Linked DNA regions of Lonchura striata. The protein of the gene in region 3 purifies or fractionates together with the protein of the main gene of each other region. This does not show direct contact. Links are inferred from orthologs where the notes say so. Each region holds a gene or a part of one and is shown on either strand. Other genes may lie near its edges.

Evidence for each region.
Region 1: the proteins of DDX5 (region 3) and EZH2 purify together in Homo sapiens (affinity purification with mass spectrometry; 4 studies listed by BioGRID, with this or other methods). This does not show direct contact. The link is inferred for Lonchura striata from reciprocal best matches to the Homo sapiens genes DDX5 and EZH2.
Region 2: the proteins of DDX5 (region 3) and RNA-binding protein FUS-like purify together in Homo sapiens (affinity purification with mass spectrometry; 5 studies listed by BioGRID and IntAct, with this or other methods). This does not show direct contact. The link is inferred for Lonchura striata from reciprocal best matches to the Homo sapiens genes DDX5 and FUS.
Region 4: the proteins of DDX5 (region 3) and TRIM25 purify together in Homo sapiens (affinity purification with western blotting; 3 studies listed by BioGRID, with this or other methods). This does not show direct contact. The link is inferred for Lonchura striata from reciprocal best matches to the Homo sapiens genes DDX5 and TRIM25.

What each region holds. Positions count from the first base shown.
Region 1 is NC_134603.1:107,631,281-107,638,659, forward strand, and holds the start of EZH2 (histone-lysine N-methyltransferase EZH2), read right to left. Parts: upstream 3,006-7,379; 5' UTR 2,846-3,005; intron 1-2,845. UniProt on the Homo sapiens protein: Polycomb group (PcG) protein. Catalytic subunit of the PRC2/EED-EZH2 complex, which methylates 'Lys-9' (H3K9me) and 'Lys-27' (H3K27me) of histone H3, leading to transcriptional repression of the affected target gene.
Region 2 is NC_134637.1:542,513-549,642, forward strand, and holds the start of RNA-binding protein FUS-like, read right to left. Parts: upstream 3,006-7,130; coding exon 2,804-3,005; intron 1-2,803. Other genes in the region: uncharacterized protein LOC144247894, read right to left, coding at 3,248-3,557. UniProt on the Homo sapiens protein: DNA/RNA-binding protein that plays a role in various cellular processes such as transcription regulation, RNA splicing, RNA transport, DNA repair and damage response. Binds to ssRNA containing the consensus sequence 5'-AGGUAA-3'.
Region 3 is NC_134621.1:8,414,444-8,422,292, forward strand, and holds the start of DDX5 (putative ATP-dependent RNA helicase DDX5), read right to left. Parts: upstream 3,012-7,849; 5' UTR 2,904-3,011; coding exon 2,872-2,903; intron 1,531-2,871; coding exon 1,365-1,530; intron 1,219-1,364; coding exon 1,122-1,218; intron 1,037-1,121; coding exon 903-1,036; intron 781-902; coding exon 715-780; intron 338-714; coding exon 196-337; intron 121-195; coding exon 1-120. Other genes in the region: CEP95 (centrosomal protein of 95 kDa), read left to right, coding at 6,248-6,308, 7,498-7,626. UniProt on the Homo sapiens protein: Involved in the alternative regulation of pre-mRNA splicing; its RNA helicase activity is necessary for increasing tau exon 10 inclusion and occurs in a RBM4-dependent manner. Binds to the tau pre-mRNA in the stem-loop region downstream of exon 10.
Region 4 is NC_134621.1:7,694,466-7,702,350, forward strand, and holds the start of TRIM25 (E3 ubiquitin/ISG15 ligase TRIM25), read right to left. Parts: upstream 3,006-7,885; 5' UTR 2,973-3,005; coding exon 2,346-2,972; intron 1,307-2,345; coding exon 1,211-1,306; intron 780-1,210; coding exon 546-779; intron 1-545. Other genes in the region: COIL (coilin), read right to left, coding at 7,292-7,387, 7,875-7,885.

The DNA.
Region 1 (7,379 bases), on a different chromosome or scaffold from region 3:
ACTTCACAGATACTTTTCCTCAAATCAGCTAAGATCCATCTGTAAGTACTAACAGTAGAATTACAGAACTTCCAGATTACAGCCAACACTAAAGTTTTTCCACAGCACTTTTGCTCAAACACAATGTAAAGTAGGCATTTATTATATGTGCCTTCTGTCAGTGCTGCAGCCATTTTAAGAAATAACTCTCACTGTTCAATCACATGAATATAGAACCTTCATCTAAAATTGTTACTCAGTTTTATCATTACAGCTGAGAACTTACTAAAACACATCCATAATCTATACAGGCACAGAAACTGAACAGTTTTGTGAATGGTGACAGAGCACTTCTTTTGATTAATTGCAAGAGGAATTTTAGAGTGCACCAACTTTCCTGGGAGCACTGTTGGCCTGCACCAGATTCTAGATGTAGCTTATTCTGACATAAGCTTCTTTACAGAAAGTGGCTTGCAGTCTCTCTATATCTAACACAGCTCATGCATTCAATAATGCACTATAAAAATTCCCTTCTCCCTAAGCCAAAGTTTCTTTGCAGGTAAGAAGTAGCACGGGAATATTTACATTTCACTTATGAAGGTTGCAATGTTACAGAACAAACAAAAACCAGTTTGAAAGCATGTCTTCAAAGAAATCACCATATTTTAGCTTGTTGGCAGTTTTAGCAAGAAAGGAAAAAAACACAGCGGGGTGGGGGGGAACGCTGAGCTTGAATTTCAGGTCTCCGGTCTAAGCTCACACACCACCACTTCAGCTCATTTTAAACTGAACGGTGACATTTTATGACTTTTTGAAGGTGCAGAGTTTCAGCGTCTGCCACTTTTAAAGGTGAAATTACATATTAAAAAAATCTATGAAAGAACTCTAAATTTCTTCCCAATTTTTTTCCTAAATTAAAGTCTTGAATCCTTCCAAAGTTCCAGACAAGAATAGCAGTTGGCATCTCATGGAACATTATACTGTCACAGATTTCTGCACAGGTTGTTTAGCTTTAATTGTTACTTTAATTTCTCATGGAGGCGGAGGAAGGAAAAAAATATTTTTCCTTTTTGCTTCTTGCAAAGGAAACTCCAGAACAAGAAATGTGACGTTTTTATTTAGTACTTTGTAAAAGTACTAGGTCTTAAAATCATTCAACACATCACAGAAAACTTTTGAGTCACATCTCCTAAAATACTGAAAGGGCATTTTCTGAAAGACTTAGTACATTTCAAATAGTCACATTTTAATAATCACTAGTGAGCCTAGTTATTGTACACTATGTACAAGTAATACCCATCCTTCTGCAGATACTTGATTGTTACCACAAATAAACATTCCCAGGACTCTCAATTTGATATAGACACTGGGAACAAACAAGGAATTACCTTTAAATTTTTATAAATTGCATAAAGAATCTGAATGTGCCAACCCCCCCCAAAAAATATTAGCCTATCTTTGAGAAGAATCCCCACCTAGATGTGAAGATCACACTAAACGTGCTGGCAAAAACTCTTTGCTGAAATCTGTATTAGTAAGAACCAAACTCACAATAGCTGAAAGTAGAGTTGCTAGACTTAAGAAAAGACAAACCTATCCTGCTAAAATTAAATTACCTTCTCCAAACTGTTACGTGCTTCTCATCAGAGAGAATAAGAATCTGAACTTCCAGCTTTAGAAATTTAAAAAACTTTTCTCTTGCTCAAATAAAATCAGTATGGTGCTTTGTAAGTTAGAAAGTATCTCGAATAATGTACAAGTTTGTTGTCCCATTCCTGCCGCACATCTGTGCACGCGTTGCTTTTCTTTAGTGTATGAATAACAATTTTGGAATCACCACGAAGACCTGGTAATGTTAAATACATGTGCATGATGCCACAACACACCGATTTCTTTATCCAACCACACATTTGTTGCTCACGGACGGCTCAGCCCAGCACTCTCCTTCACACCTCCCCAGACACCCTACCTTTAAACAGTGCTCCGTATCGCCGTGCTTGGCGATATGAGACCCAAAACCCCGGAATTTTCAGCTATTTATGAACTTTCTCCCGGCGCTCTGGAAGATCGGGATCGCACGGTGATCTCCACGATTAGGAAGTTCGCCGGAGCAGCCGCCAGACCGAGCTCCCCCCCGGCCCCTCCCGAGCTCTCTCCCTGAGCCCGGAGCGCCCCAAAGCCGAGGCGGGACCCCCAGCGCAGCCCCGCCGTCCCGCGGGCGGGCGGCCCGGGCGCGCTCAGCCTCCCCGCCCGGCCGGCCCCGGCTTCCGGGAGCCCGGGCGGACTGTCCCGGCTCCCGGGAGAGAGGGACGAGCTGCGTGCCGCGCTGCCCACGGCGGGCACACGGCTTTCGGGCGCACGGCTTTCGGGCTCGACACGCACGCACACCTCCCTCTGCCCGCGCCGGGGCCACCGCCGCGTGCCGCCGGCTGGAGCGGAGAGGAGGGGAAGGGAATCGCCGGGTCTGCCCCCCGCTCTGCCTCCCGCCGCCCCCGCCCTTCGAAGGAGTGACGGCGAGCTCGCCCCCAGCCCGGGCGTGCGCCCCGCCGGGCGGGGACCGGAGCCGCCGGCCGGGCTGGACGGAGCCAACTTAGACAAAGGGCACTCCAGACTCCATGTCTCCCCCCTCCAGCTGTCACCGGCCGGGAGCCCGCGTGTCTGCCCGCCGGCTCCCCGCGGGAAGGGGACGCGGCTGCTCCCCGTGAGCCGCCGCCGCCGCTGCCCCCATCCTCCCCTTCCTCCCTGCCGCCCCCTCCCCTCCTCTCCTCCCCTCCCCCATGACAAAGGACCCGGGTATAAATAGCCGCTCCCGGCGCCGCCGCCGCCTCGAGCCCGCGAGGTGTCGCTCGCCCGCCCGCTCACTCACCCGCCCCCCCGCCGCCCCGGCTCCGCGCCGCCGCCGCTCCCGCCGGTGCCGCCGCCAGCTCCGCTCGGCGCTCCCGCTCTGCCTCCCTCCGCCTCCGGCTGCCGGATTCACCCTCCCGGACCGAGCGCCAAACACGCCGGCCCAATCGCCATCGCGCTCATTGGCGAGCGCCGAGCGCCGCCTCCATTGGACGGGCGGCCGCGGCCGGGGCCCCGCCGGGCCAATCGGGCGCGGCGGCGGGCGGGGCGCGGGGCGCGGCCTCGCTCCCCACGTGCGGGGGGGGCAGGGAGGGGTGGGGAGAACTCTTTGTTCTCGCGCTGCCCGCGCGGGGGGACGGGGGGCTCGCGCTCCCCCCGCTCCCGCCGCCCCCCGCCCCCCGCGCCGCGCGGCGGGGCCGGGCCCGGGGCCGCGCCGCGCCGGGGCCGCTCGGAACTCCGCGGCCGCCTCACGTGGAGAAGGGGCAGAGGGAGGGGAAAGGGGAGGGAGGCGGGCGAGAGGATTGGCGGGCACCGGGAGGGGCCGCGCTCCCGCTCCCGCTCGGCGCCGCTGCCGAGTTTGAATCGGTCCGAGAGCGGGAGCGGCGTAACGGCCGTAACGGTCCCGGGGGCGGGAATGTCCGGAGCGGCCCCTCCGTCCCGCCGCCGCTCCGCCTGTTGCGCCCCCGGCGCCGGAGCTCAGCCGCGGCAGGTCACTCCGGCCTTCCTCCGTCTTCAGCAGGGAAAAATAAAATTGCCAAGATAAGTTTTGCTAGCGGGTACTTAGCCCGTCCCTTGCGACCGCATCCCTTTCCGATGCGCCCCGCATCGAGTGCTACTTCCGAGACACACTGGAGCCGTACCCTTGCTTCCACAAGTCCCGTCATCCTTCCTTACCAAATATCACCTCTCCTCTTCCTTGTGGCTACCTCAGCGCATCTTCAGGGGCAGAAGTGAGCAGCGGCCACTGTAAGGGGGTTCTGACTAAGAAAAGTCTCTCACGGAGGAAATAAATCACAAACGCGCCCACATCGCCAGATCATGCCGTGGGCTTGCGTGTCTCACAGACGTGACACGTAGGGAAAACGAGGATGTATCAGCCCTGGAGGCTGGGGACAGCCCACGCTGGCGGGGCAGCCCCGCCGCTCCCCGGCGGATGTCTCGGCCGGCTGAGTCACTTTGCAGCGCTGCTGCTTCGCGTCCGCCTCTTTGACCTTTGCTTGCCCAAACTTCACCGCCGCCAGCCCTCCTTCAGCGCATCGCGCCGGCGGCTTCCTCTCCCTCGCTGCTCCGCATCCAGCGCGGCTTCCCCCTGTCGTGGGGGGATGTCATAAATCGCAGCAGCCGCAGCAAAGTGCTCTCTCCGCATCAGGCTCGCATCCTGTTGCTCGCTACGTGCTGTCTCCAGCCTCTAAGGCTGCTGCTGTTTTCCCTCGTTTCTAATCCACGAGCCGCGCTCATCAATCTTGTTGCCGAGGTTGTATTTAAAACTTGACGGTTCGTGCACCTTTTTACTCTGCCGTCGTCCTGCTCTCTGGTCGCTCCAGCCTTTACTCTGCTTCAGCAGAGAAAAATAAAATTGCCAAGATAAGTTTTCTAATGATACACTTCACCTCCCTTGTGACCAGATCACTTTCCCATGCGTCCCACATCGAGTGCTACTTCCGATGTGCGCTGGAGCAATCGATACATGGTTGTTTCCGTCATCCTTCCTCACCAAATATCAGCTTCCCTCTAACTTGTGCTTCCTAGCGCTACCTTAGTGCTTCTACAGGGTCAAAGTTCAAAAAATGACCAGTGGCCACTGTAATGAGGTCCTAAGTGATAAAAAGTTCTTGCAGGGAAATAAATCACAAATGCACCTTCATCCCCCAATTAATGCAGTTGGCTTATGTGCCAAGTGAGGCTTGGTGTTCTCCTACTTAAAGGCAATGTACTTGTGTGTTTTTATAGTCTCTTTCTATGTGAAAGTACTTAAAATTTCCGGGCTTCATTGTGTATTAAACTTGGAGTGAGGTCTCAAGTGTGGGCATTCCCACTCTGGATGTTCTTGATTTACCTCATGGCCTTGAAAAGGTGTTTCTAATAGTATCTCTTTTTTTGATTTTTGTTTTTGTTTTTGTTTTTGTTTTTTAATCTCTGGGGTTTCATGAGTTACGAGCAAAAAGCACGCAGCAGAAATTATTTCCTATTACAGTTACATGTCATATTGTGGTAGATAGCTATAACCTTCCTCGCATTCTAGTGGAGTGGCTGACAATTGGGAAGATTGTCTTTAAAATATTACATTTGAAAAATATTAGTCATTTCTGGAAATTCAGCTATTGTGAATCTATTCTACCCCAAGATGGCTGCCACCACCAAAATGGCTACCCAGTCTCGTCACAATTTAGGTTTTGTAATTTATTTTGATCCTTCAAGATGCACTTCATGAGATCTGGTTTTGGTCAACAAGAAAAGTAATAATTGCTAGATAAGGGTGAGGTAACTTAATGCAGCAGATACGCTTAGCCACAAGGTGGAAAGATCTGCATTATAGAACCTACCCTGTGAACTAACCTCAGCACTGATCACATCCTTTTCCTCTCTTGTACAGAAGATTATTCATCTGCTGTACCTGAAAGTGATGCTTACTAGAAAACTGTACATGTTTTGAACTGAGTTACTGTTTCTTCTTTGCACTGTACAAAACAATCTCTACACCAAGGCTCCATTCTAGGCTCTTAAAACAATGAACTCCTGTCAAGAAATTCTATGAGGTGCTGATTTCCTGATCCGTAGTTCAGGCTGCCTCAAACCTCCTGGAGAATTTTGGTAACAGTTTGATTCTCTACACAGGAGTTTAATGTTGCAACAAGCTCCATACAGACTTTCTGTTTTCACAGAATAAACCACCCAAATGGTTTTCTGTTTCTGCTGTATTTCTGTGATTAAAAAGCAACTATTTGAACAAGGATCTGTATTATGCAGAGACATTCCAATTGGATCTTTAGGTAAAAATAGCACAACAATTTTTGAAATAATTACAAAACCTGGTATTTTGAGGAGCCTTTCTCAAAGGAGTGAATTCTGGTGGCAGCATGGTACAGTGCTTTTGAGAAAAGTGGCTAACATTGAAGAAATATACACATGTTACATGACAATTAAATAAAATCAGGCTCAAGAAAAAAGTATCAGTTTTAGACCCTTCTGGAACTGTTGAAAGCATTTGCCCTTTTTTTATAGCTAACACACTGTAGAAGAGCATTTTCTATGTTTCCAGCATATGAATGTAACATGTACATTCATATTGCATGTATGACTATGTAGAATAAGGATTTGTCAGTGCTAGATCACCAGCATCAATTAGACATAAAAATAATTGTTTGACAGCATCAGGGTATGATTGCTTCCATGGGGGGATCCTTATGTGCTTCTTTCACCCTTTAAGGAGTGGTATTTGAGTCCAGGAAAAAGAAGGGGCAAACAAAATTCTGCTGCAAAGCAAAATTAACAGTTAAGTGGTTTCTTTTAGATATTTTTAATATCTGAAAGAAGGTGTTATTTCTAAAGCATAGGATATTCTTTATGCACTATTATCCCAAGATTTCCTTGTAGTTAGAATCATATGGTATTTCTTCCCGTCAGGCTTGGGGGACCAAGCCAGACCTGTCTGGGAACTACCTCGGCCTGGAATAACGAGAGATGTTGGCCAGTTTTCCCCTCGCCCACCCGTTTTTTTCCAGGAGAGGCGCAGCAAGGCTGCCCCCAGCACTGGCAGCCCGGAGCAGAGACGCCGGTAGCTGCATCTGTAATTCTTGTAGATAAGCTGGTGACTTGCTGATGGCAGCGTCGCTTTCCTTTGTGCTCCGGAATGGCAGCGCAACAAAGCTGCGTGCAGCTTTGGGCTGGCTCTCTCCGTGGCGCGGGCTGCTGGCTCCACGGATCGGTCACACAGCCTCCAGAGGTTCAGCCTGCTCGTGCTCCAGCTCCCGAGCTCGCTGGAAGGGAGGAAAGGAGGATGGAGGGGTAGGTGTAACCCTGTCCTGGTTACACCTACCCCTACAATCAAAGCCGGTAGCACTGCAAGTAGTATTTCATCCCGTAGAGCGTTTAGGAGCGTGATCTTTGTTTCTTGGTGTTTTCCTAACCCTGTACTTTTACAGAGACCCTAGCTTGTAGTGTGTCTGAAATTCTGCATTTTGGTCCATGTGAATTTGATGAGATTTTACAAAATGTTTACATATGTAGAAATGTAACTACAGTCTAAAATCTAAAGTAAGTACAGTCTAAATCTGTAATAGCATTTATCTCTTATGCACGGCAATGAATACACAGAAATCAGAATATTAAGTGGCATATCATAAAAAGGCATATCAGAGACCCTTTTAAAGTATTGGCCTCTTGTATCATTATTATAAAAAAAGCAGGGAGTTTGTGTTAACTTTTAACAAGAAATTAATGACTATGTTTTGCAACTAGCCACTTTGAGATTAGCTATGTTTTCAAATGTTTTACATTAATATCTTACTGGTATGTATGGACCAATTTCCCTCAAAGAAATGCAACCTTATGAACGG
Region 2 (7,130 bases), on a different chromosome or scaffold from region 3:
TTTTTGGGAATTCCGCTAAAATCCCTAAATGTAACAGTGTGCAATACAGAAAACCTGATCCTATGTGAAGCCTCAGAATTCCACCCCAAATCGCTCCATTTTAACCGATTTTTTCACCGTTTCCGCTCCCGATTTTTCCCAAAATCCTCATATTTCGCCCCAAAATTCCCGATTTTTTTTAGGAATTCCACTAAAATCCCTGAATATAACTTAGTGTGGAATGCAGAAAAACTGATCCCATCTAAAATCTCAGAATTCCACCCCAAAATCCCTCCTATTTCAGCCAAAAATCAGCCAATTTTGGTCCGGATTTCGCCGTTTTCACTCCCAATTTTTCCCAAAATCCGCATATTTCACCCCAAAATTCCCAATTCTTTTGGAAATTTTTTGGGAATTCCACTAAAATCTCTTGATATAACTTAGTGTGGAATGCAGAAAACCTGATCCCACGTGAAGCCTCAGAATTCCACCCCAAATCCCTCCTTATCTCAGCCAAAAATCAGCCGATTTCGCTCCGGATTTCGCCGTTTCCGCTCCCGATTTTTCCCAAAATCCGCGTATTTCGCCCCAAAATTCCCGTTTTTTTTGGGAGTGCGACTCACAGGAGGCGGCTCCGTAGTGTCCCTGCTGCCCGTAGCCGCCGCTCGGGGGGTTTGGGAACCTGATCCCACCCCAAATCCTCCCAAATCCCCCCAAACTTCAGCCCATTTTGCCCAAAATCTGCGGATTTCGCCCCAAAATTCCCGATTTTTTGGGGAATTTTTTGGGAATTTCATTAAAATCCGTAAATATAATTTGGAACCAGTTGGAGAAAAACCAATTCCCACCCCAAAATCCCTCCTATCTCAGCCCAAAATCAGCCGATTTCGCTCCGGATTTCGCCGTTTCCGCTCCCGATTTTTCCCAAAATCCGCATATTTCACCCCAAAATTCCCCATTTTTTTGGGAATTTCACTAAAATCCCTGAATATAACTTAGTGTGGAATGCAGAAAACCTGATCCTACGTGAAGCCTCAGAATTCCACCCCAAACGCCGAAAATCTCAGCCAAAAATCAGCCGATTTCGCTCCGGATTTCGCCGTTTTCGCTCCCGATTTTTCCCAAATTCCTCATATTTCGCCCCAAAATTCCCGATTTTTTTGGGAATGCGACTCACAGGAGGCGGCTCCGTAGTGTCCCTGCTGGCCGTAGCCGCCGCTCGGGGGGTTTGGGAACCTGATCCCACCCCAAATCCTCCCAAACTTCAGCCCATTTTGCCCAAAATCTGCGGATTTCGCCCCAAAATTCCCGATTTTTTTTGGGAACGTGACTCAGATCCCTGGATATAATTTGGAACCAGTTGTAGGACCATTGTTTCTATCCCAAACCCTGGAATTCCCCCATTTGTGCCGATTTCAGTTCCGATTTCGTACTTTTCGCTCCCGATTTTGCCCAAAATCCGCATATTTCGCCCCAAAATTCCCGATTTTTTTTGGGAATGTGACTCAGATCCCTAAATATTGTTTGGAACCAGTTGTAGGAAAACTGTTCCCACCCCAAATCCCAAAATTCCACCCCAAATCCCTCCTATCTCAGCCAAAAATCAGCCGATTTCGCTTTGGATTTCACCGTTTTCACTCCCGATTTTTCCCAAAATCCGTGTATTTCGCCCCAAAATTCCCGATTTTTTTGGGAATTCCACTAAAATCCCTGAATATAACTTAGTGTGGAATGCAGAAAACCTGACCCCACGTGAAGCCTCAGAATTCCACCCCAAATCCCTCCTATCTCAGCCAAAAATCAGCCGATTTCGCTCCGGATTTCGCCGTTTTCGCTCCCGATTTTTCCCAAAATCCTCATATTTCGCCCCAAAATTCCCGTTTTTTTTGGGAGTGCGACTCACAGGAGGCGGCTCCGTAGTGTCCCTGCTGGCCGTAGCCGCCGCTCGGGGGGTTTGGGAACCTGATCCCACCCCAAATCCTCCCAAATCCCCCCAAACTTCAGCCCATTTTGCCCAAAATCTGCGGATTTCACCCCAAAATTCCCGATTTTTTGGGGAATTTTTTGGGAATTTCATTAAAATCCGTAAATATAATTTGGAACCAGTTGGAGAAAAACCAATTCCCACCCCAAAATCCCTCCTATCTCAGCCAAAAATCAGCCGATTTCGCTCCGGATTTCGCCGTTTTTGCTCCCGATTTTTCCCAAATTCCTCATATTTCACCCCAAAATTCCTGATTTTTTTGGGAATTTCACTAAAATCCCTGGATATAACTTAGTGTGGAATGCAGAAAACCTGATCCCACGTGAACCCTCAGAATTCCACCCCAAATCGCTCCATTTTAACCCATTTTTTCGCCATTTTCGCTCCCGATTTTTCCCAAAATCCTCATATTTCACCCCAAAATTCCCGATTTTTTGGGGAATTTTTTGGGAATTTCATTAAAATCCGTAAATATAATTTGGAACCAGTTGGAGAAAAACCAATTCCCACCCCAAAATCCCTCCTATCTCAGCCAAAAATCAGCCGATTTCGCTCCGGATTTCGCCGTTTTCGCTCCCGATTTTTCCCAAATTCCGCGTATTTCACCCCAAAATTCCCGATTTTTTTTAGGAATTCCACTAAAATCCCTGAATATAACTTAGTGTGGAATGCAGAAAACCTGACCCCACGTGAAGCCTCAGAATTCCACCCCAAATCCCTCCCATTTCAGCCAAAAATCAGCCGATTTCGCTCTGGATTTCGCCGTTTCCGCTCCCGATTTTTCCCAAAATCCTCGTATTTCGCCCCAAAATTCCCGTTTTTTTTGGGAATGCGACTCACAGGAGGCGGCTCCGTAGTGTCCCTGCTGCCCGTAGCCCGGGGGCGGGTTGTAGGAGCCCTGCTGCCCGTAGCTCTGCTGCCCGTAGGCGCCGCTCGGGGGGTTTGGGAACCTGATCCCACCCCAAATCCTCCCAAACTTCAGCCCATTTTGCCCAAAATCTGCGGATTTCACCCCAAAATTCCCGATTTTTTTTGGGAACATGACTCAGATCCCTGGATATAATTTGGAACCAGTTGTAGGACCATTGTTTCTATCCCAAACCCTGGAATTCCCCAATTGTGCCGATTTCGCTCCGGATTTCGCCGTTTCCGCTCCCGATTTTTCCCAAATTCCTCATATTTCGCCCCAAAATTCCCAATTTTTTTGGAAATTTTTTGGGAATTCCACTAAAATCCCTAAATGTAACAGTGTGCAATACAGAAAACCTGATCCCACGTGAAGCCTCAGAATTCCACCCCAAATCGCTCCATTTTAACCCATTTTTTCACCGTTTCCGCTCCCGATTTTTCCCGAAATCCGCGTATTTCGCCCCAAAATTCCCGTTTTTTTTGGGACTGCGACTCACAGGAGGCGGCTCCGTAGTGTCCCTGCTGCCCGTAGCCCGGGGGCGGGTTGTAGGAGCCCTGCTGGCCGTAGCCCTGCTGGCCGTAGGCGCCGCTGGGCTGCGGCTGCGGCTGCGGCTGCGGCTGCTGCGCGTAGGCGCCGCCCGCCGCGCCCGGCCCGTAGCCGGAGCCGCCCGAGCCGCCGCCGTAGCTGCGGAGAAATGGGGTGAAAAATGGGGATTTTGGGAAAAAATGGGGGTTTGAGGGGGAATGTGGGGGGTTTGGGGGGGGGGGGATGGGGGTTTGGGGGGGGGATGGGGGTTTGAGGGGGGAATGGGGGTTTGAGGGAAGAGGCGGAAAAATGGGACTTTGGAAAGGGGAAAATGGGGATTTTGGGGTGAAAAAAGGGGATTTTGGGAAAAAATGGGGGTTTTGAGGGAAAAAATGGGGGGTTTGAGGGGGGAATGGGAGTTTCAGAGAGAAAAATGGGGGTTTGAGGGGGGGGAAATGGGAGGTTTGGGGGGGAAAAATGAGAGGTTTGAGGGAAGAGGCGGAAATTTGGGGTGTGAAAAATGGGAGTTTGGAAAGGGGAAAATGGGGATTTTGAGGTGAAAAAAATTGGAGTTTTGGGGTGAAAAAAGGGGATTTTGGGAAAAAACAGGGGGTTGAGGGGGAGAAATGGGGGCTGAGGGGGAAATAGGGGTTTTGAGGGGACATATGGGGAGTTTGGGGGGGGAAATGGGAGGTTTGAGGGGGGGAAATGGGAGGTTTGAGGGAAGATGTGAAAAAATGGGACTTTGGAAAGGGGAAAATGGGGATTTTGGGGTGAGAAACGGGGATTTTGGGAAAAAATGGGGGTTTTGAGAGAAAAAATGGGGGGTTTGAGGGGGGAAATGGGGGGTTTGAGGGGGGGAGATGGGAGGTTTGAGGGAAGAGGTGGAAATTTGGGGTGTGAAAAGTGGGAGCTTGGAAAGGGGAAATGGGGGTTTTGGGGTGAGAAACGGGGATTTTGGGAAAAAAATGGGGGTTGAGGGGGGAGAAATGGGGGTTTTGAGGGGGAAAATGGGGGTTGAGGGGAAAAATGGGGGGTTTGGGGGGGAAATGGGGGTTTTGAGGGGGGAAATGGGATTTTTGTGGGAAAAGGGGCTTTTAAAAGGGGAGTTTGGAAAGGGAAAATGGGGATTTTGGGGTGAAAAAAATTGGAGTTTTGGGGTGAAAAAAGGGGATTTTGGGAAAAAACAGGGGGTTGAGGGGGAGAAATGGGGGTTTCAGGGGGAAATAGGGGTTTTGAGGGGACATATGGGGAGTTTGGGGGGGGAAATGGGGGTTTTGAGGGAGGGAAATGGGAAGTTTGAGGGAAGAGGCAGGAAAATGGGACTTTGGAAAGGGGAAAATGGGGATTTTGGGGTGAAAAAAGGGGATTTTGGGGAAAAATGGGGGTTGAGGGGGGAGAAATGGGGGTTTTGAGGGGAAAAAATGGGGGGGTTGGGGGGGAAATGGGAGGTTTGAGGGGGAGAAATGGGAGGTTTGTGGGAAAAGGGGCTTTTAAAAGGGGAGTTTGGAAAGGGAAAATGGGGATTTTGGGGTGAAAAAGGGGATTTTGGGAAAAAATGGGGGTTTTGAGGGAAAAAATGGGGGGTTTGAAAGGGGGAAATGGGGGTTTGGGGGGGGAAAAATGGGAGGTTTGTGGGGGGGAAAATGGGAGGTTTGAGGGAAGAGGCGGAAATTTGGGGTGTGAAAAGTGGGAGCTTGGAAAGGGGAAATGGGGATTTTGGGGTGAGAAACGGGGGAATTTTGGTGTGGAAAAAGGGGATTTTCGGAAAAAATGGGGCTTTGAGGGAAAAAATGGAGATTTTGAGGGGGGAAAATGGGAGTTTCGGGGGGAAAAATGGGAGGCTTGAGGGGGGGAAATGGGGGTTTTGAGGGGAAATATGGGGGTTTTGAGGGGGGGGAATGGGGGTTTGAGGGGGGGAATGGGATTTTTGTGGGAAAAGGGGCTTTTAAAATGGGACTTTGGAAAGGGAAAATGGGGATTTTGGGGTGAAAAAGGGGATTTTGGGAAAAAATGGGGGTTTTGAGGGAAAAAATGGGGGGTTTGAGGGGGCGGAAATGGGGGTTTGAGGGGGGAAATGGGAGGTTTTGGGGGGGAAATGGGAGGTTTGAGGAGGGAAATGGGGGGTTTGAGGGAAGAGGCAGGAAAATGGGACTTTGGAAAGGGGAAAATGGGGATTTTGGGGTGAGAAACGGGGATTTTGGGAAAAAATGAGGGTTTTGAGGGAAAAAATGGGGGGTTTGAAAGGGGAAATGGGGGGTTTGAGGGGGGAATGGGGGTTTTGAGGGGGGAAATGGGGGGTTTGAGGGAAGATGAGGAAATTTGGGGTGTGAAAAGTGGGAGTTTGGAAAGGGGAAAATGGGGATTTTGAGGTGAAAAAAGGGGATTTTGGGAAAAAACGGGGGTTTGAGGGAAAAAATGGGAGTTTCGGGGGGGAAAAATGGGGGGTTTGAGGGGGGGAAATGGGATTTTTGTGGGAAAAGGGGCTTTTAAAAGGGGAGTTTGGAAATGGGAAAATGGGGATTTTGAGGTGAAAAAAATTGGAGTTTTGGGGTGAAAAAAGGGGATTTTGGGAAAAAACGGGGGGTTGAGGGGGAGAAATGGGGGTTGAGGGGGGAAATGGGGGTTGAGGGGGGAAATGGGGGTTTTGGGGGGAGAAATGGGATTTTTGAGGGATGACGCGGAAATCTGGGGTGTTAAAAATGGGAGTTTGGAAAGGGGAAAATATGGATTTTGGGGTGAAAAAAGGGGGAATTTTGGGGTGAAAAAAGGGGATTTGGGGAAAAACGGGGATTTTGAGGGGGAAAATGGGGGTTTTGAGGGGGAAAAATGGGAGGTTTGGGGGAAAACACAGGAATTTGGGGCGTGAAAAATGGGAGCTTGGAAAGGGAAAATGGGGATTTTGGGGTGAAAATATTGGAGTTTTGGAAGGGAAAATGGGAAATTTGGGGTGAAAAGGGGGAATTTTGAGAAAAATGGGGGTTTGCAAAGGGAAAAATGGGAGGTTTGCGGGGAGAAAATGGGGGTTTCTGGGGGAGAAATGGGATTTTTGAGGGAAAAGGGGCTCAAAAAAGGGGAGTTTGGAAAGGGAAAATGGGGATTTTGGGGTGAAAAGGGGGGATTTTGGGAAAAATGGGGATCTCCAGGAAGGGAAATCGGAATTTTGGGTTTAGAAGACATGAATTAGAGGGTAAAATGTGGGCACGTGGGGGAAAAATGTGGGAATTTGGAGGGGAAAAAACGGGAATTTCAGGGGTTGGGGTTTGTGTTAGTGCTTTGGGGTATTAACAATAACAATTAATTAGTGCTAATTAAGGATTAATTAGTGCATTAATCACCCTCCAGAGGCCGAGGCAGCCGCAGGGGGCTGGGAATACCCAGGGCAGGAGGAGCTTTGGAGTTACTGGTGTGGGGTTTGTGTTACTGGTTTGGGGTTTTAATTAACAATAACAATTAATTAGTGCTAATTAAGGATTAATTAGTTAATTAATCACCTTCCAGAGGCCGAGGCAGCTGAAGGGGGCTGGGAATAGCCGGGGTAGGAGGAGCTCTGGAGTTACTGGGAGTGACCGGGGTGGGGTTTGTGTTACTGGTTTGGGGTTTTAATTAACAATAACAATTAATTAGTGCTAATTAAGGATTAATTAGTTAATTAATCACCTTCCAGAGGCCGAGGCAGCTGAAGGGGGCTGGGAATAGCCGGGGTAGGAGGAGCTCTGGGGTTACTGGGAG
Region 3 (7,849 bases):
CCATGTCAAGCATCCTGTCAGCTTCATCAAGGACAAGGTAAGTACACCTCCTGAGATTGGTCTTTCCAGCTTCTAAGAAGTCTATAAGTCTTCCAGGTGTTGCAATGCAGATTTCCACACCTAAAACCAAGCAGTCCCATCAGCTGAAGCAGTTTCCCCATTCCCTCAGACAGATGCACCAAGGCTGATCCATACCTCTTTCCAGGTCACGGATTTGTGGTCCCTTTGGAGCACCTCCATAAATACACGTGGACTTCAAACGACACGCTCTACTGTACTCTGCAGCTACCTGCTGCACTTGTTGGGCGAGTTCACGGGTTGGTGCCAACACAAGACACTGGAAACAGGATACCCATCTTTTAGTTCAATACCCATTGGAAGGTTAGTCTGAGACTTAAAATTTTGAGTGTAAAGTTCAATGCCAGATTGACAGAAGTAGATTTAAGCAGCCAAACCAGCAAACCAAGTTACCTGGTAGCTTCCAGGGATAGCAACTTCCAAAATATAACCCAAAATCAAACCCTGTTCTGTACTATTTTGAGGACAACCCAATCAGAGATTATAGAATCTGCTAGGGAAATCAGCCCAACAGGGAACCACTTTATTCACACAGAGAAGCAGAATGCAGCTATGCACTCTTATGAGCAGGACCAACTGAGACTGTAAAATAAAATCCTTAGAAATTAAAATCCCCTTTAATTTAGGAATACTCACAATAGGTCCATCTCCTCGCTCCAGGAATGGCTGATGATTTATATGCACAATGGCAGGCAGTAAGTACTGATTGGAAGAAAGAAAAATCTCATTACAATCTCTTCCTAGAAGTTTTCACCCTGTGCTAGGCTAGGCCATACTGTCACTGCTGAAATCCAGCAGTATTTCAGGCTATAATCAAAACTTACAGAGAGTGTTTTCCCTGATCCAGTCTGTGCCACTCCAACCATATCCAATCCACTCAATGCAACAGGCCAACCTTGTGCTTGAATAGCAGTTGGTTCAGTGAAGTTCTGCCTCTGAATTACTTCCATAACATTTGCTTGAAGAGAAAATTTAAACATACAGATTCAGATGTTGCCCTAATCCAGTCTGGAGAACAGTTAAGTAAACTGGTCTTCACTTACCAGGGAAGTTTGCTTCGTAAAAGTTGATAATTGGTTTTGGACAGTTATGGCCCCTAACTGTGACCTCTTTGCTCGCTCTGTACTGTTCAACTTCTTGCTGCAAAAAGAAACACCCATTATTGGAAATAATGTCTGATACCAGTTATATTTTAAGTTACCCCATCTGTGCCTGCTGGGCCTCATGACCCTCAACATGTTTGCACTTTCTGTTTACTTTTGGCTTGAGCCAGGTCAGGTACATACCGCAGTACGTCTAACTACATCCGGATGTTCTTGGTAGAAGTTCTTCTCAAATTTGGGCAGCTCATCCAAGTTCCATTTCTTTTTTGTAAGTTTCTCCCCAGGGTTTCCAAATTTCTTCCCAGAGAGAGGTCCACCTCTACTTCCTCCAAAACGAGGGGCTCCAAACCTAGGCAAAAAGAACACATTATAGAATGCATGAAAAACATTTTGGTCCTCCTGAACAACTTCACCACTATGTCTGCAGTACACCCATTAACTTTACAATTTAGATGTAGAAACTCTACATATCGAAGTTTCAGGACACTAGAACTTTAAAAGCCATACTTTAAGCTGCAGATGCCACAATCTGCCTGGCCACAATTCACACTCACAAGCTAAGACAACGTCTTTCCCATTTCCATACAATGCAATTGAACAGCAAGTTACAACAAGCATTAAAACCTTGGCACTACCCCGTGATCAAAATGGTTTCCCGTCCCAGTGACAGTCCTATTACTGAAAGCAGGAGCAGTTACGAAACCTTGAGATAACTTTCCTGTAAACCGTTCTTTTGCATGTCCCAAAAGACAGACTTCTTTTAACAACGGTGTTTTATGAGGACATGCGCTTTATTAGCGTTTCAGGTTCCGTCCCTCCGTTCGGAGGAGGCTGATCTCGAAAGCCCCGAGGCGCAGATCGGTGCCGCGCACTGGATCCGAGCGCAGGTCTCCCTCCCCCGGCCCGATCACTTCCCAATTTTGGCCGGGCGGGCACTGGGAACGATCCTTCCCAGCACAACACAGCGCTTCCCGAGCGGCCGCTGCTTCCTGCCAGCGCTGTTTCCTTTGTCTCTCATTTCTGTCTACGCCACATTTTCCAGCCGCTGCCATTTTAGAGCCGGGCTGGGCGGGGGGGAGGAGGAACAAAGGCAGCAGCAGCATAGCCGGCATTTTGATTCCCCTCAGCCACCGCATGGCGGGGCCGGCCATTAACATCCGCTTACACAACACAAAGCGGAGCCGGCCGGCTCCGGCCGGCCACAGCCCGAGCCTCGGGAGGGGGAAGGGACGGGAGGGAACCGCCCTGCCGAGAGCTCCCCAAGGCTTCGGCACAGCCAACCCACTGACCCACAAACCTCCAGCCCGCCCGCCGCTCCCAGCGGGGGGAATCGGGCTCTGCACGGACCGTCTGTGCTGGGCGGGGGGCGTCCCAAGGGGGTTGGGGCGAGTATTTTCCTTCCCAACAGGAAAAAAAAAAAATTAAAACTCCCCCACGCTATTCTCAGCGGTAGCACACCCGCGAGGGGTGCTCTGAGGCGAAGGAATCTTCCAGTCGGTGGCCTAAAAAAGCCCGATACCCTCCCCCACGGCCAACCCTCGCGGCGGGAGCGCTGAGGGAAGGGCTCAGGGCCGAACCCCCGCCCCGCCGCCATCTTAAAACGTCTGAAAAACAACCCCGAGAGCCCCACGGGTAGGCTCAGAGTCCGGACGCTGGCGGCGGCTGGCGCCAGCCGTGCCCCCGGACTCACCCTCTATCCCTGTCGCTGGAATACCCGGGCATGGCGATGGTGGCGGTGGGCGAGGCGACTCCGGTCGCTTAGAGCGGGTGGCGAAGGGTTGCACAAGATCCGGCGCCGCTGGCGGGGGCCGCTCACTGTGGGCGCGCGGCCGCGCGGCCGCCGGTTATATAGGGCGCAGCGGGGGCTGCTGGGAGCCGGCGCGTGACGCACGCGCAGGCCCCACCCCCGCCGTTATGCAAGCGGCCCGAGCCGAGCCGAGGCTCCGCCCCTTTGTGGGCGTGGCCGCGGCTCGCCCGGCCGAGCGGTTTTGAGCTCGCGGCCGGAAGTGCCCCCTCCCCGCGGGGAGCGGCCCCCACCCCCTGCCCGCGCCTGCGCGGGGCCGCTGCGGGCGGGAGCCTCGTTCTGGCTGAGGGCATCCCGGCCTGAGGGGGCCGGAAATGCAAATGGAGAATGCTCTCTTCCATCCTCCCTAAGTGCAGGCTTTCGGCCTCCCAGCGTGTTCAGAACGCAGCTCGCAGCTCAGCTCCTCATCACTGTTGGCAGGGCAGAGCCGGACCCTGATGTCCGCAGTGCAGTCCCCCAGTTCTCACAGATCTGTTTCTGAAAATCCTCCTGAAATAACTTGAGATGAGCCCAGGTTTTTAACTAATAAAAACTCATACTTCACGGTACATTGGCTCTATGTCCACCTGTGACTTTCGCTCTCAGAAGGACCCAGATGTGCAGATCCTGGAGCTGGATGCAAAATAACATCAAACCTCCTCAGGCTAGTTCTTTTATTCTGTTAACCCATTGCCTTTTAAAAAATGTTTATAAACATATACATGAACAGAAATATTTATAAGCATATGTCTGTAAAATTACCAGTGTTATCTTTTTGGATTCCACACCAGGGCCAGTAACCTGAGTCAAAGGTCATGTGAGGTGCAGTGGTGCTGAAAAGCTGCTCTGAAGGCACGGGATAAAAACACTCAATACCCCAAGTGGACATTGCTGTTCACCCACCGGCTTTGCCAGGCCAGTGTCAGGCGACCTGAAGCTTTACACACACAGGACTTAAAGTTTTAAGCACAAACACCCGAAGCCACCTGCTCCAGGCAGAGAGGGAAGAAATGAAAACAACATAAGGAAGGAGAAGTGCTATAACAACACTTCCCATTTATATCCTCCCACCTTCTAGCAATCTGTGCTTTAAGGCTTTTCTGGGACAAAAATAACTGTATTTGATGGCCATTTCTTCACATTTGGTTCTATTTATGCCCTTAGCTTGTAAGATACCATGACAATGTATTTTACGGTTTTAGTGTATGCAACCTGAAAAACATTTACTTTCGTTTTCAACATATTGCTGGATAATAATAAGGAGCATAAAACAATGAGTTAGTAGAAATGGTGAGTAATAACTTTTTGTTTATTTATACTGTTTGTGGGCATTAATATCTTCTAAGTCACCTCCTTTATAATAAACCAAAGCTGCAGTGTAATTTTTCCTCCTTTTAAAGCGATTCCATGCTTCTAATTATCCTTGCTATTTTTGCCTTTATTGACAAGAAATTCACAGCATTTAAGATCTGGACCTCATACAGATCTACATAATGAAAGTATAAAGGTGGTTTCGATCTGTTGTGTATTACTTTATAGCAGTTTTTAAAATTTGTTGCTAAGAATAGAGCAGGGTTTGCTAAGACTAGAGGTCTGCATGATATTGTCCTCAAAAGTAACACCTAAGTCAGGGTTATTTTGTTTATGAATAGCCAAAACTGTTCAAACCTCAGCAATTTGGAATTCCACCTTGCTCAACCAATTTTTTGTTGTAATTAATTATTTCTTTCAATAGCACTCCAACTTGACCAGTTTTGCTAATACTACCCCAGCAAATTTCTAGTAGAGGAATGCCCCCAGTTTTTTTCAGTAGAGACTTACTTATTTAATATGGCTTATGAAAAATTTTTAACCCCAAATACCCCTACTAACACTCTCCACCTTCTGACCCTACAGGCTTCCTGTTCCTGGTGAGTCTAAAAAAATTTTTTGCAAACGCTGTAAAAATGAATTATCTTTTCTTGTTCTGGTGCATTTATCTTAACACAGCTTAATTTGGTTTTGTTTGTGTATAACTCTGTGGCTCCTGTTACTGTGCTGTTTAATCTTTCTAAGGTATTAAAGAATTGAAAAGACTAAACAAAAACCCAGTCCCTGCCTTGTCTACACGCAGTTAAGTCTGCAAGGAACTCCTTTCAATTTACTTTGTAAAAAAACTTCCTCATTTTTCTGTTCCACCCTCCTAAGTTAAACATCCTTGGTTTTCCCATGTTCTCTTAGAGCCAGCACATGGAAACAAATCAACAGTTTTGCAGAGCTGTGTATGCAGCAAACTAAAATCTGTGTTTAGTTTAGTTTCGATAGCACTGATCTGTGTTTGCTTACACACAACAAAAGTTCTTTTGTGTTCCTGAGGTGGTGTGTGCACTTGGATTTGGATCGACAAATGACACCCGTGGGCTGCTGGAGCTCACAGCACTGAGGTTTTATTGCTGCCAGTCATTGTTCTTACGGTCAAAATTGGGACCTCAGCTGCCTTTGCCGTGCTTGAGGGGTTTAACGATAAAGGGCACCATTTTTTCTTTCAACATGGAAAACCCAGAATTCCTGAGGAGCATGCAATACTGTTGCTCAGAAAGGGAAGTAAGAGATTTTCACCATCCAACCTGTCCAATAAACTGCATGCTAGCGGCTAGTACAGTAACTTTCATTTACGCATTTTATTTTTAATAAACGTTTTAGCTCTCCTTTCATGCAGAAATGCCTTCGAACTGCCAAACCGTGGCAATTAACAGCAATCCCCGCTAATGGACATACAGGCCAGCAAACGTCCCGGGCACGCCTGCAAGGTCAAGTGGTGCAACTTCCCCCGCTCCACCCCCGCCCCAGGCCGGCCCTTTGCCCACCCCATTTACCGAGATAAACGCCGCCACCCGCCTCCTGTTCAGGTGACGGAGGCGGAACCTGACGGACAGGCCCCCCTCCCCCCGCCTTCCCCGCCGCCATTTTACGCCGCCGGCAGCGCTCGGCGGCCGGAGCGCCCCGGGGCCGGCCCGCGCTGCCCGGGGCCTCGGCCCGCGGGGCCCTGCGCCGGTGGCGGAACCGGGCGGACCGCACCGGCGCCCCTCACGGCACCGGCGCCGCGGCTTAGCTTGGGGCACGGGCTCTTTCTTTTGCTCCCCGTTCCCAGTCCAAGCGCAGGCCTGTTCCCAAGCCCGTTACCGAGGCGCTGGGCCCGCCCCGCTCCCGTAACACCGGCCACGACCGAGAGCACCGGACGCGCCGGGCGCGCGGCCCCGCCCCTTCCTGCGGCTGCCCAATGGGCGCGCAGGCCGCGGTTTAAATGGCGGGGCGGCCCCGGGCCCCGGTCGTTGGTGCCGCCATGGGCAGCGCTGAGGGCGCAGGTAGGGCCGGCCCCGGGGGGCTCCGACCGCCGCTCGCTGCGCCCGGCCCTGCGGTGGGCCTGGCCCCGGGCCCCGCTCCCGGAGCAGCGCCCGGCCTGGCACCCGCAGAGCCGGGAGAGACGACCCGGAAAGTTTCCTTCTCCCTTATCACTCCCCCTCCCCGCCGCTGCTCGCATCGCTGGCACAATTTTATTCAGTCATTATTTATTAAAGCTCACCCAGTCAGTTCATGCTTATTCATTTATAAAGCTGTTGTTTTCTTGTGTTACAGCTTTTTAAGATCTTTGCATTAACCTCCCCCTTCCCCTCTTTGTTCCTTTCCTGGCTACACTTTTAACTTAATAAAGCTACAGATGAACAGTAACTCAAGTGTTCCAAGACATCAGCCTGAAATGTAGATGCTGCTTTAACCTTTGGTGCATCTGAAACTTAAGGTGATGTCTGGAACTGATGGAGTAGAGAGATGGAAAAGTAACACTCCTCTGTACAGAAGACTGAAAACTGTACCAATTTGTTTCTGTTGTAGTAATTCTATACTTTTTTCTTCCAAAGGTGACTTATGTCTTCACCAATAAATTAAAGTTCTTAATGCTTGTTAAAATATGTGTGTTTCAAAGCACTTTGATCTTAGGACTCAAATTTTGAGGAAAATCACAATGTTAATGCACATCTTGTGCTCAGCAGAGAACTTGGTGTGACCACTTCTGTATTCTTCTAATCCTTAAATAATTAAAGTAGAATTTACTTTTTATGAGGAGTAGTTACATTAGCAGTGATGACATTGCCTAAGGCTATTAGAGAACCTGAGTTTGTCCGAGAAGCTCATGTTTTCCAAAAAAAGAACCTGTTATTTCTGATAATTGATAAATGGTGTATCAAAGCTTGGCTTGTTAATGTCTTGAAGGTTTAGAGGTCCTGGCTATAGACCAGATGCAAATTTGTTTTTCATTACATGGAAAAAAAAATTAACCTGCCCAGCCTCTGGTACTTCAGTGTTTTTCACTTCCCAAGTCCAGTTGGGTTATGATTACACTTAAACACTGTTTAATATTTTGGATGGATTGGTCAGCCTCCTGTTTGACCACCTCTGGTGGAGTCAAAGACACTTACAGATTATTTTCACTGTAAATAACCACATCTTTATTTCTGGGTCTTTCAGCTCTGACATTAATGATTTTCTTCTGTACAGATTGGGTTGATGTTGCCAATGATCTTTTAAGGGCGTGTCACATAAACCAGCACATAAAGCATCTCTCAGAATGTGGTGCTGACCTGTTTGTTTGTCTTTATGAATCAATCTTAGGAGAGAAAGTACCAGGTAGGAATAATTGCTAAATATGTTTTTTATTTTTGTCTCTGTGTATTTTGTAGCTAAATAAAACTGAAACTTGTAGAACTTCTACAGATACAGGGATTTAAAGCATTTGCATCCTTCCAAAGATAAAAATATAAGGTTGTCATTCTTGAAGAAGATTTAAGTAATATTGGCCAATTTTATTTTAACTTTGGACGGCTAAGAATGGCAGCTATGAAGATAGCCA
Region 4 (7,885 bases), about 720 kb from region 3:
TGCCCAGTGACCCCTCTGCTTGTGGCAGAGGCAGTGGCTGAACTGGGAGAGTTACCAGACATCCCTTTGTGGAGGCTCTCAGCTCAGTCGAAGAGAGAACAGAGAGAATTCTCTCAGGCTTCAGCCTGGGAAAGTTAGGAGAAAGAATTCAAACAATTATTATCTCTCTTTCTGTTCATGTTGTTTTTATAGACATATTCTACCACAGTGTGCACCAATAGTGTGAAAGGTTTTTACTTTGACACCAATCGTATTCCACCCTAGTGAGTCAGACTACAAAAGTACTTGCTACTTAATAAACATTCTTTAAGCCTTCTGAACCACGGGAGTCTTTTCGTCCCTCCCTGACTCAACAGCAACACCCCTTCAACATTCTTTCACTGATACTTGTTTACTTTTCAGGACATCTTTTGATAGGAGGTTCTTGCACGCCACTGTGTTTCCATTTCACTGCAAGTCTCTGGAGAGCAGGATGACCACAGGAAGTTTTTGTCATTCTGCATTCTAGAATGAAGAATTGGATTCACATTTAAATGACACATTACCTTCAAAAACAGAACATCATCACTTTCAGTTAGTGCCATCTCAATCTGATCTTTGAGAGACTGAATCTCATTCTTCTTATTTCCCAGAACGCTGTAAATATAATCAAGCTTATTCCAAACTCTCTTTTCTTCCTCTGCAATTGCTTTCATGATCTCATTTTCTCTTTCTTCAATTACAGCTTTAACTTCTGAAAACTCATTTCTGATTAATTCCATCTTTCTTGAAGCTGTCTCCTGGGGTAGACAAGAGCAGACAGGTACTGGTTTCAAAACAACAGTTTGTAAACAAAATACTCTAAGTGCTACTGCATGAAAGCCTCTGAGGAACATGTGGGCTTCTCTTCCTTTAAACAAGCAAGAGAAGAGCTGTCGATTTCTATGTGGTTTGGAAAGAAAACTTCACTCACAAGGAATGGAGCCCATTCTCAGTGTCACCCTCACGTGAGGGTATAAGACATTGCACAGTGCCTGGTTTATTCCTATGTCCCCCAGAGCTGCCTGGCCCTGCCAAAACTCCTCTTTTCTGCTGCTTCCCAGTAACACCTTCTCCTGCCAATGCAGCCTCAGCACTACAGCCCTTGTCACAAGGGTAAAATCACCAACACCATGCAGTGGCCAGCGGGTGCCAGGCAAGCCAACAGTACTCTGAGCAGTTCTCCACTTACAGCAGTTTGGTTCTGTTTTGTTTTCACCGTGCTCATTGCCCGGGCAGTTCTTTCACCCTGGTTATGCAGCTCCACAAGTTTTTTCTTCAGCATCGACTGCAACAGGAAAGACCAGAAAGTATTTCAGAGAGGCAATTGTCATGTCTGCTCTCAGTTTTGAATACTCTTGTAAGCATTTAGTACTCTCAGCTTAAAACCTACCTTTCCTTGAATCTTAGGGGGTGCAAAAGTAGCATCCTGCAAATATGGCTTGTGGCACCCACACCCTCCCCACCTCTCCCAAGAGCATATTGCCATTGCTGACACTCTCTTCACAAACGACCTATGCTTTCATCAGCACAGCAGTTCTCATGCTAAGAATAAATGTTAAATTAGCTCTCACATCAGACTTCCAGCACAGAGTTGATGCTACTGTTCACCCCTCTCCTTTTGAGAATGTTCTCTTAGATGTGATTTACCTGTTCCTTTAGTTCAAGATTCTGCTAAGCTCAATCAGGGCTATGTTCTGCAGCTACACTGTGTACACACCCACTGAACAGATGGGAGTTTGACCATCTAAACTTTTTCAGCATACTTCACTCATCCACATTGATTTTCAGCTGTGCTGGAAAATATAAAGTCCAGGTTTCCTTCCTTTCTACTCCTTCTGGCTTTCATCTACATATTTGAGGTCTCCCTAGGATACCTTTATAATTCTTCTTCTTAAGAACATCTGCAGCAGAATGTCGGCCCCTCAGGCTGTGACAAGCCGTGGCAGGGAGCAGAGCAGCAGAGGAGGCTCAGAGCTCTGGCTGACGCCACAGAGAATGGGAGCCTCGCTGGTAAACCCAGCCCAGACTAGGACAGCCCAGCCCTGTCAATCCAGCTCCCTGGCAGCGCCTTCCCAGACCCCTGCTCTTGAGCAACATCTTGGAGAGACGAGGAAAATGGAAGGAATGGCTCTGAGGACGTGCCTGAGCACATGTTGGAAGGCAGATAACAGTTTATCAATGCCAGACCGAGATTTACAGTCGATGTCTTGTTCCGGCCTCCTCCCCGCACTCCAGAGCGGCTCCCCCGGCACCGAGGGAGGCAAGGGGCGCTCCGGGGTGCCCTTGGGAGGATGTTCCAGCCCCGGCCAGCCCCGGCCGCTCACCTGGGCAGTGGCTGTTGCTTCCTCCAAGGGGCTGGTGGGGCACAGCTTGTGCCCGAGCAGGCAGAGGGAGCAGATGCAGACGCCGTGCTTGCTGCAGAAGAACTCGAAGAGCCTGTTGTGCTGGGGGCACTTGCGGAGCTGCAGGTCGCGCAGGGGCGGGCAGAGCTGGTGGTCGCGGAAGGCAGGGCTGTCGCGGTGCGGCCGCAGGTGCTCGGCGCAGAAGGACGCGGTGCAGGTCAGGCAGGTCTGCACGGCCGGCGCCTCCTGGCAGCTGTCGCAGGACACGGGGGGCTCGCCCGCCCAGCACCCCCCCGCCTCCCCATCCCCATCCCCACCCTCATTCTCCTCCTCTTCCTCGCTCTTGTCCCCGGAGCGGCCCTGGAGCTGCTCCACCACCCGGCACAGCACCGTGTTCTTCTGCAGCTGCGGGCGGGCCGCGAAGGTGGCCCGGCACTGCGGGCAGCTGAAGCCCCCCGAGAGGCCGGCCCAGCTGAGCTCCAGGCAGGAGGCGCAGAAGTTGTGCCCGCAGGGCACCGTCACGGGGCTGCTGAAGAGGCAGAGGCAGATGGAGCAGGTGAGATCCTCCTCCAGCCCCGACAGGCCCGGCTCCGACTCCAGCGCCGCCATCGCCCCGTCCGCAGCTGCCCCAGGAGCCCGAAGCAAACCTGGCCTCGGAGAAACGAAACTACGGCCGGGGCTTTCCGGAAAATTGCGTGTCATCCCCGCCCCGACGGGAGGGGCGGCAGCCGAGGGACGAACCCGGGGCGCCCGCCCATGTGGGGGCCGGGCAGCGCCGGGATGCCGGGGGCGCAGCCCCGCGGAACGGGACCCCGCGGCAGCGCCGGGCCGGGGCTCCGGGCCGGGGCTCCGGGCACCGTTCCCGGAGGTGCCCGGGGCCGCGGGGTCGGCTCTAACCGCAGCGGAGCGTTCGGGGCGCTGCCCGGCCCGCTCCGGCTCAGGGCAACCCGGGACAGCAGCGCTCCGCCCGGGCTCAGGGAGTGCTGAACCCAAATCGCCCCGAGCACCGCCCCAGCTGCTCCGAGTTTTGGGTCAGATGGGTGCTGGAAATCCTACGGACTCATAGGTTTGGGTTGGAAAGGACCTTAAAAATAATCTGTTTGCAACAGGTGATGTCAGGGCAACGTTTTCAAAGCACACAGGTTACTGATTTGTGATTGTGGAAACCATCTGAACAGGAGATGCTTCCTCAGATTTCTTTTTCTTAGTCTAACTGTTCAATAATCACCATTTCTAACAGGAACACTGATGCTGAATAGCAACATGGCAAGTACTCCTGTCTTAACTAACTTGACCACAAATTGTTCCAGTGGCCTCTTCCTCCTCCCTCTTCTGCCCTGTCTGCTGGTGTCCCAGGGATTTCCTTGGGACCCTCTATATTTTTCCACCCATGCTGGCAGCAGGGATAAAAGGAGCAGCCTGGCACAAAGTCTGTGACCCCCCAATAATTTAAACAGAACCTGATGGCCTGCAGCAGAAGGAGCCATGTGCTCTCAACTCTTGTCCAGTGGGCAAAGAACACCTTGTGTGGAGAACTGCTGAGCTTCCCTTTAATGTAATTTAAAAGTATTAGCAGGCCATCTTGTTGGCGTTAGTTCTTGGGGACTTCCAAGAATGTTCAGGAGTTAAACAGAATCACAGAATGAACTAGGTTGAAAGAGACTTTTAAGATCATCTAGTCCAACCTATGACCTAAACTAACACCTCCTTATCAACTAAACCATGGCACTAACTGCCACATCCAGTCTGTTTTTTAAACTACAGGGATGATGATTCCACCACCTCCCTGGACAGACGATTCCAGTGCCCAACCACTCTTTCAGTGAAGAATTTCTTTCTAACATCTAACCTAAACTTGCCTTGGGGCAGCTTAAGGATGTATCCTCTGGTTCTGTCAGTGCTGCCTGGTGAAAGAGCCCAACCCCACCTGAGCACATCCACCTTTCAGGGAGTTGTACAGAGTGATAAGGTCACCCCTGAGTCTCCTTTTCTCCAGGCTGAGCACCCCCAGCTCCCTCAGCCGTTCCTCACAGGGCTTGTGTTCCCAGCCCTCTCCAGCCCTGTTGCCTCCTCTGGATGGGCTCAAAGGTCTCAACGTCCTTCCCAAACTGAGGGGACAGAACTGGACACAGCACTCAAGGTGTGCTCCCACCAGTGCCGAGTACAGGGGGAGAATAACTTCCCTGGCCACTGTTGCTGATACAGGCCAGGGGCTATTGGCCTTTTTGGCCATCTGGGCACACTGCTGGCTCATGCTCATGCTCAATATAAAGCACTCAAAAGAAGCAATGTTGGGTGGTCTGTTACAAGTGAAATCAGCTCCTAGCCAGTTCTTTTGGACTATTAAATTAAATTTGGAGAATCATTGTAAAGCTGTGTTGTACAGATAACATGGACTTGTACCTACACCAGTTATCCCTCCAGCCTTTTAACACTCCTTCAGGATAAGCTGCAGAGGGGTTGTGTGTCACAGGGCTCTGAGTCACTGCCCAGTAACAGATACAGGCGCAGAACCGACAATGGAGGCATTGGGAGCTGCAGGGCTGTGACAGGAGCAAAAGTTCAGGATCAGCTCTGTCATGTGCTCGAGGGTGGAGTTTCTAGGAAATGCGCACGGTGCCACAGGTTTACAGCATGGTTGGGATGTGCTGATCAGGACTTTGTAACTGCTGTTACAAGAAATGTAAACACCTGATGGGGTGGCTGAGAGGGATGGCAAAGGAACACTCTCAGAGAGCTGTGCTGTGCATGAGATGGGACAAAAGAGCAGCTCTTAATGTTTGCATTTTTTATTTTTCCACAGGTTCCTCAGTCCAGATAAGCCCACCCTGGGCTTATCTGGACTAAACCTCTGTCATCTTTCAAACACTCAGCACCTTCACTGTATTTTCTGTGGCACTCATATGGAATCAGCTGATATAGACAAAGGTATGCAAATAAAAAAGGTAAATATAAACCCTCACAACTGCAGCTTCTGCTTCTGGAGCATGGCACGGAATGTTTAGAGTTCAGATGAGCAATTTAAGTTCCACATTGTCAAAGATGGCTTGAGATTCTGGTTTGGAGAAAGCCCAACCACTCCTGTTGTCTATGAGACAATAAATTTTAACATAAAAAAATTATTGCTAGCATTTGAATAGCTATTTAAGTTATTACTCACTTCTGCTTGCAAATACTTGAGAACTTCCTGTGATTCCAAACTGAAACTAACCCTTTGCCCAGCCACTGCACATTCCAAGTACCCCGCAGAGCTTAAGCAGGGCTTTAGAAGCACAGTGGGATAAAAGGCACCTCACATTCCTGCCCCCAGCAAGGGGGCTGAGCGATGGGAGAGCCCCAGGGACAGACAGGCAGCAGTGAGGGTTTGCTCAGTGTTTCACCACCTCCTTGTGGGATTCACGTGCACATTGTCCCATCCCAGATTCCTCAGAGCAGGATGTGGATGGGACAGGCAGGGCTCTTGGCAGTTCCCTCAGATTGCCTGCCCTTGGTCTGATTTGACTTGCTAACAGTGGGTAAATAAAACTCAAGATTTTACCTTCAAAACACCCTCTCTTCTCAGGGGTGTATTTATTTTCCAGCATCACCCGTGTGGCACAGCCAGAGGGACTCAAAATCATGCCAAAAATGGAGGCAATGGAACAACAGGTACTGTGAAACATTTGCATTTAGCTTTTGCAACTTCCTAAGAATTAACAAGTAACAATTCCCTTAGAAAAAGAATCTTTCCATTAATCCTCACTGTCTGAGCATGACTGTGCTCCTGTTTGACATCCTCTTTTCATTCAGTTTGCAAGAACAGCCACACAAATCTAACCAAACTGTTATCTAAAAAAGCAAATCCTAGCATGAAATAATGGTATCTAAAGTGAACCACAAAACACAAATACATTTTACTTGTATAAAAACGATTCCTTCACAAACAAGGCATTTTACTAGGGCTGATGCAAAAATGCACAGAACTTTAATGGATTCATGCACTAGGTCAGAGTACATGACAGCTAAACCATAATCTACAAATTTTCAGGTCTTTGTATCTAGGGTTGCTTTTTCACATGTCTTTCCTGTAGGAGGCAGCTACCTAGCACAGGGATTATCTGAAAGTGTAAGACTTGCCAAGGCTCCAGAGGTACAAGGTCCCCCTCAATGCTAATAATAATTATTAGAGCTGTCAGTGCAGCGCCTTGCCAGCACCTGGTGACCCATTGTGCTGCTGGAAAGAAGTAGAAAGAAGAAAAAAAGAAGAAAGGAAAGAAGCAGGAAGAAGAAAGGCAGCACAGCAACTTCATCACTTAAAGGGCAAGAGGGTTTTCTCTAAAACCAACAATAAAGGCTTTCAGAGCCTACATGGATTAACACAGCAGGACACAATTGTGCCAGGGGTTCATGTTGTATTTCACTGGTTCTAAGCAAAGTTGACAGTCACCAGTGCTATTTATTTGCCTCAAAATTACAGAAACCTTGAAATCCACATGCTTTTCTGGATATGTTTAGGTGAACTCTTTAAGTAACTACAGCATCACAGCATCTGTATGCTGTGGCAACAGCAGAGGGACAGTTCTGCACATCAACAATATTTATAATAAATTTTTAAATGAAAGTGACTTCTGGCAGTCACACAGCTCTAGCCAAACCCAGACATTTAAACAATTACTCACAGTACAGGGTTGTGTTTTATCTTTTAATCAAACCATTCCAGTTCTGCAGCCTGGTACAGTAGAAATATTCAAACCCAACAGGTCTACATTAGACTTCCTATAATAAACAAAGTTTTCATGTATTACATAAAAACATAACCTAAGGGAAAAAAAACATTTTTCTTCTGGCCTACTTCTTTTAAGACAGTAACATCCATCAGTGCACCTGCCACCCTCAGAACCAGAAGACAGCACTTCATAGAACAGATCTGTACAATTGTTCACATCTTTTCACACACTAGATGTTCCGTTTGCAACGCTGGATCCGTTCACTGGAGGCTCCACAATCAGTCTTGGCTCTATCAGCGCATCCCAGCTCTCAGTTATCTGAAAACAAACCACAGGCAGCACTTGGCAGGTGCCAGCAGCACCAGCAGATGCAATTTCTGTGCTGTTATGCTTTTGCCTGGACCACTGAACCAAGATCACAACTCCTCCTGTGAGTCACTGATCCTACTGGAGAACCTCAACCTGCCTGATGTCCTGGGTAAGGAAAGATGCAGGTAAGAACAAAAGTGATGAAAGGGAAAGCTGGTAAGAAAGGATCTCTATGAGACATGATGTTGTTTATTAGCCAAAACAAGAATTCTGGTGAGTGGCAGTGACCCCAGTTAATTGAGTACCATGCAAGAGCTGATTATTATGATGTAAACATGCACCTTCTTGCTAGAAAGAAACAATTACTTTTGCTTCCATTGATTCAAATCAGACGGATGATTACAAAGGAAATGTCCCTGAGGCAAAGAGAGACAGGAAGCAGGGCAGGTGCCAGCTCTGCAGAGCTGGTGGCAGGACTCAGAGCAGCCCCACGTACCTTGGTCTCCT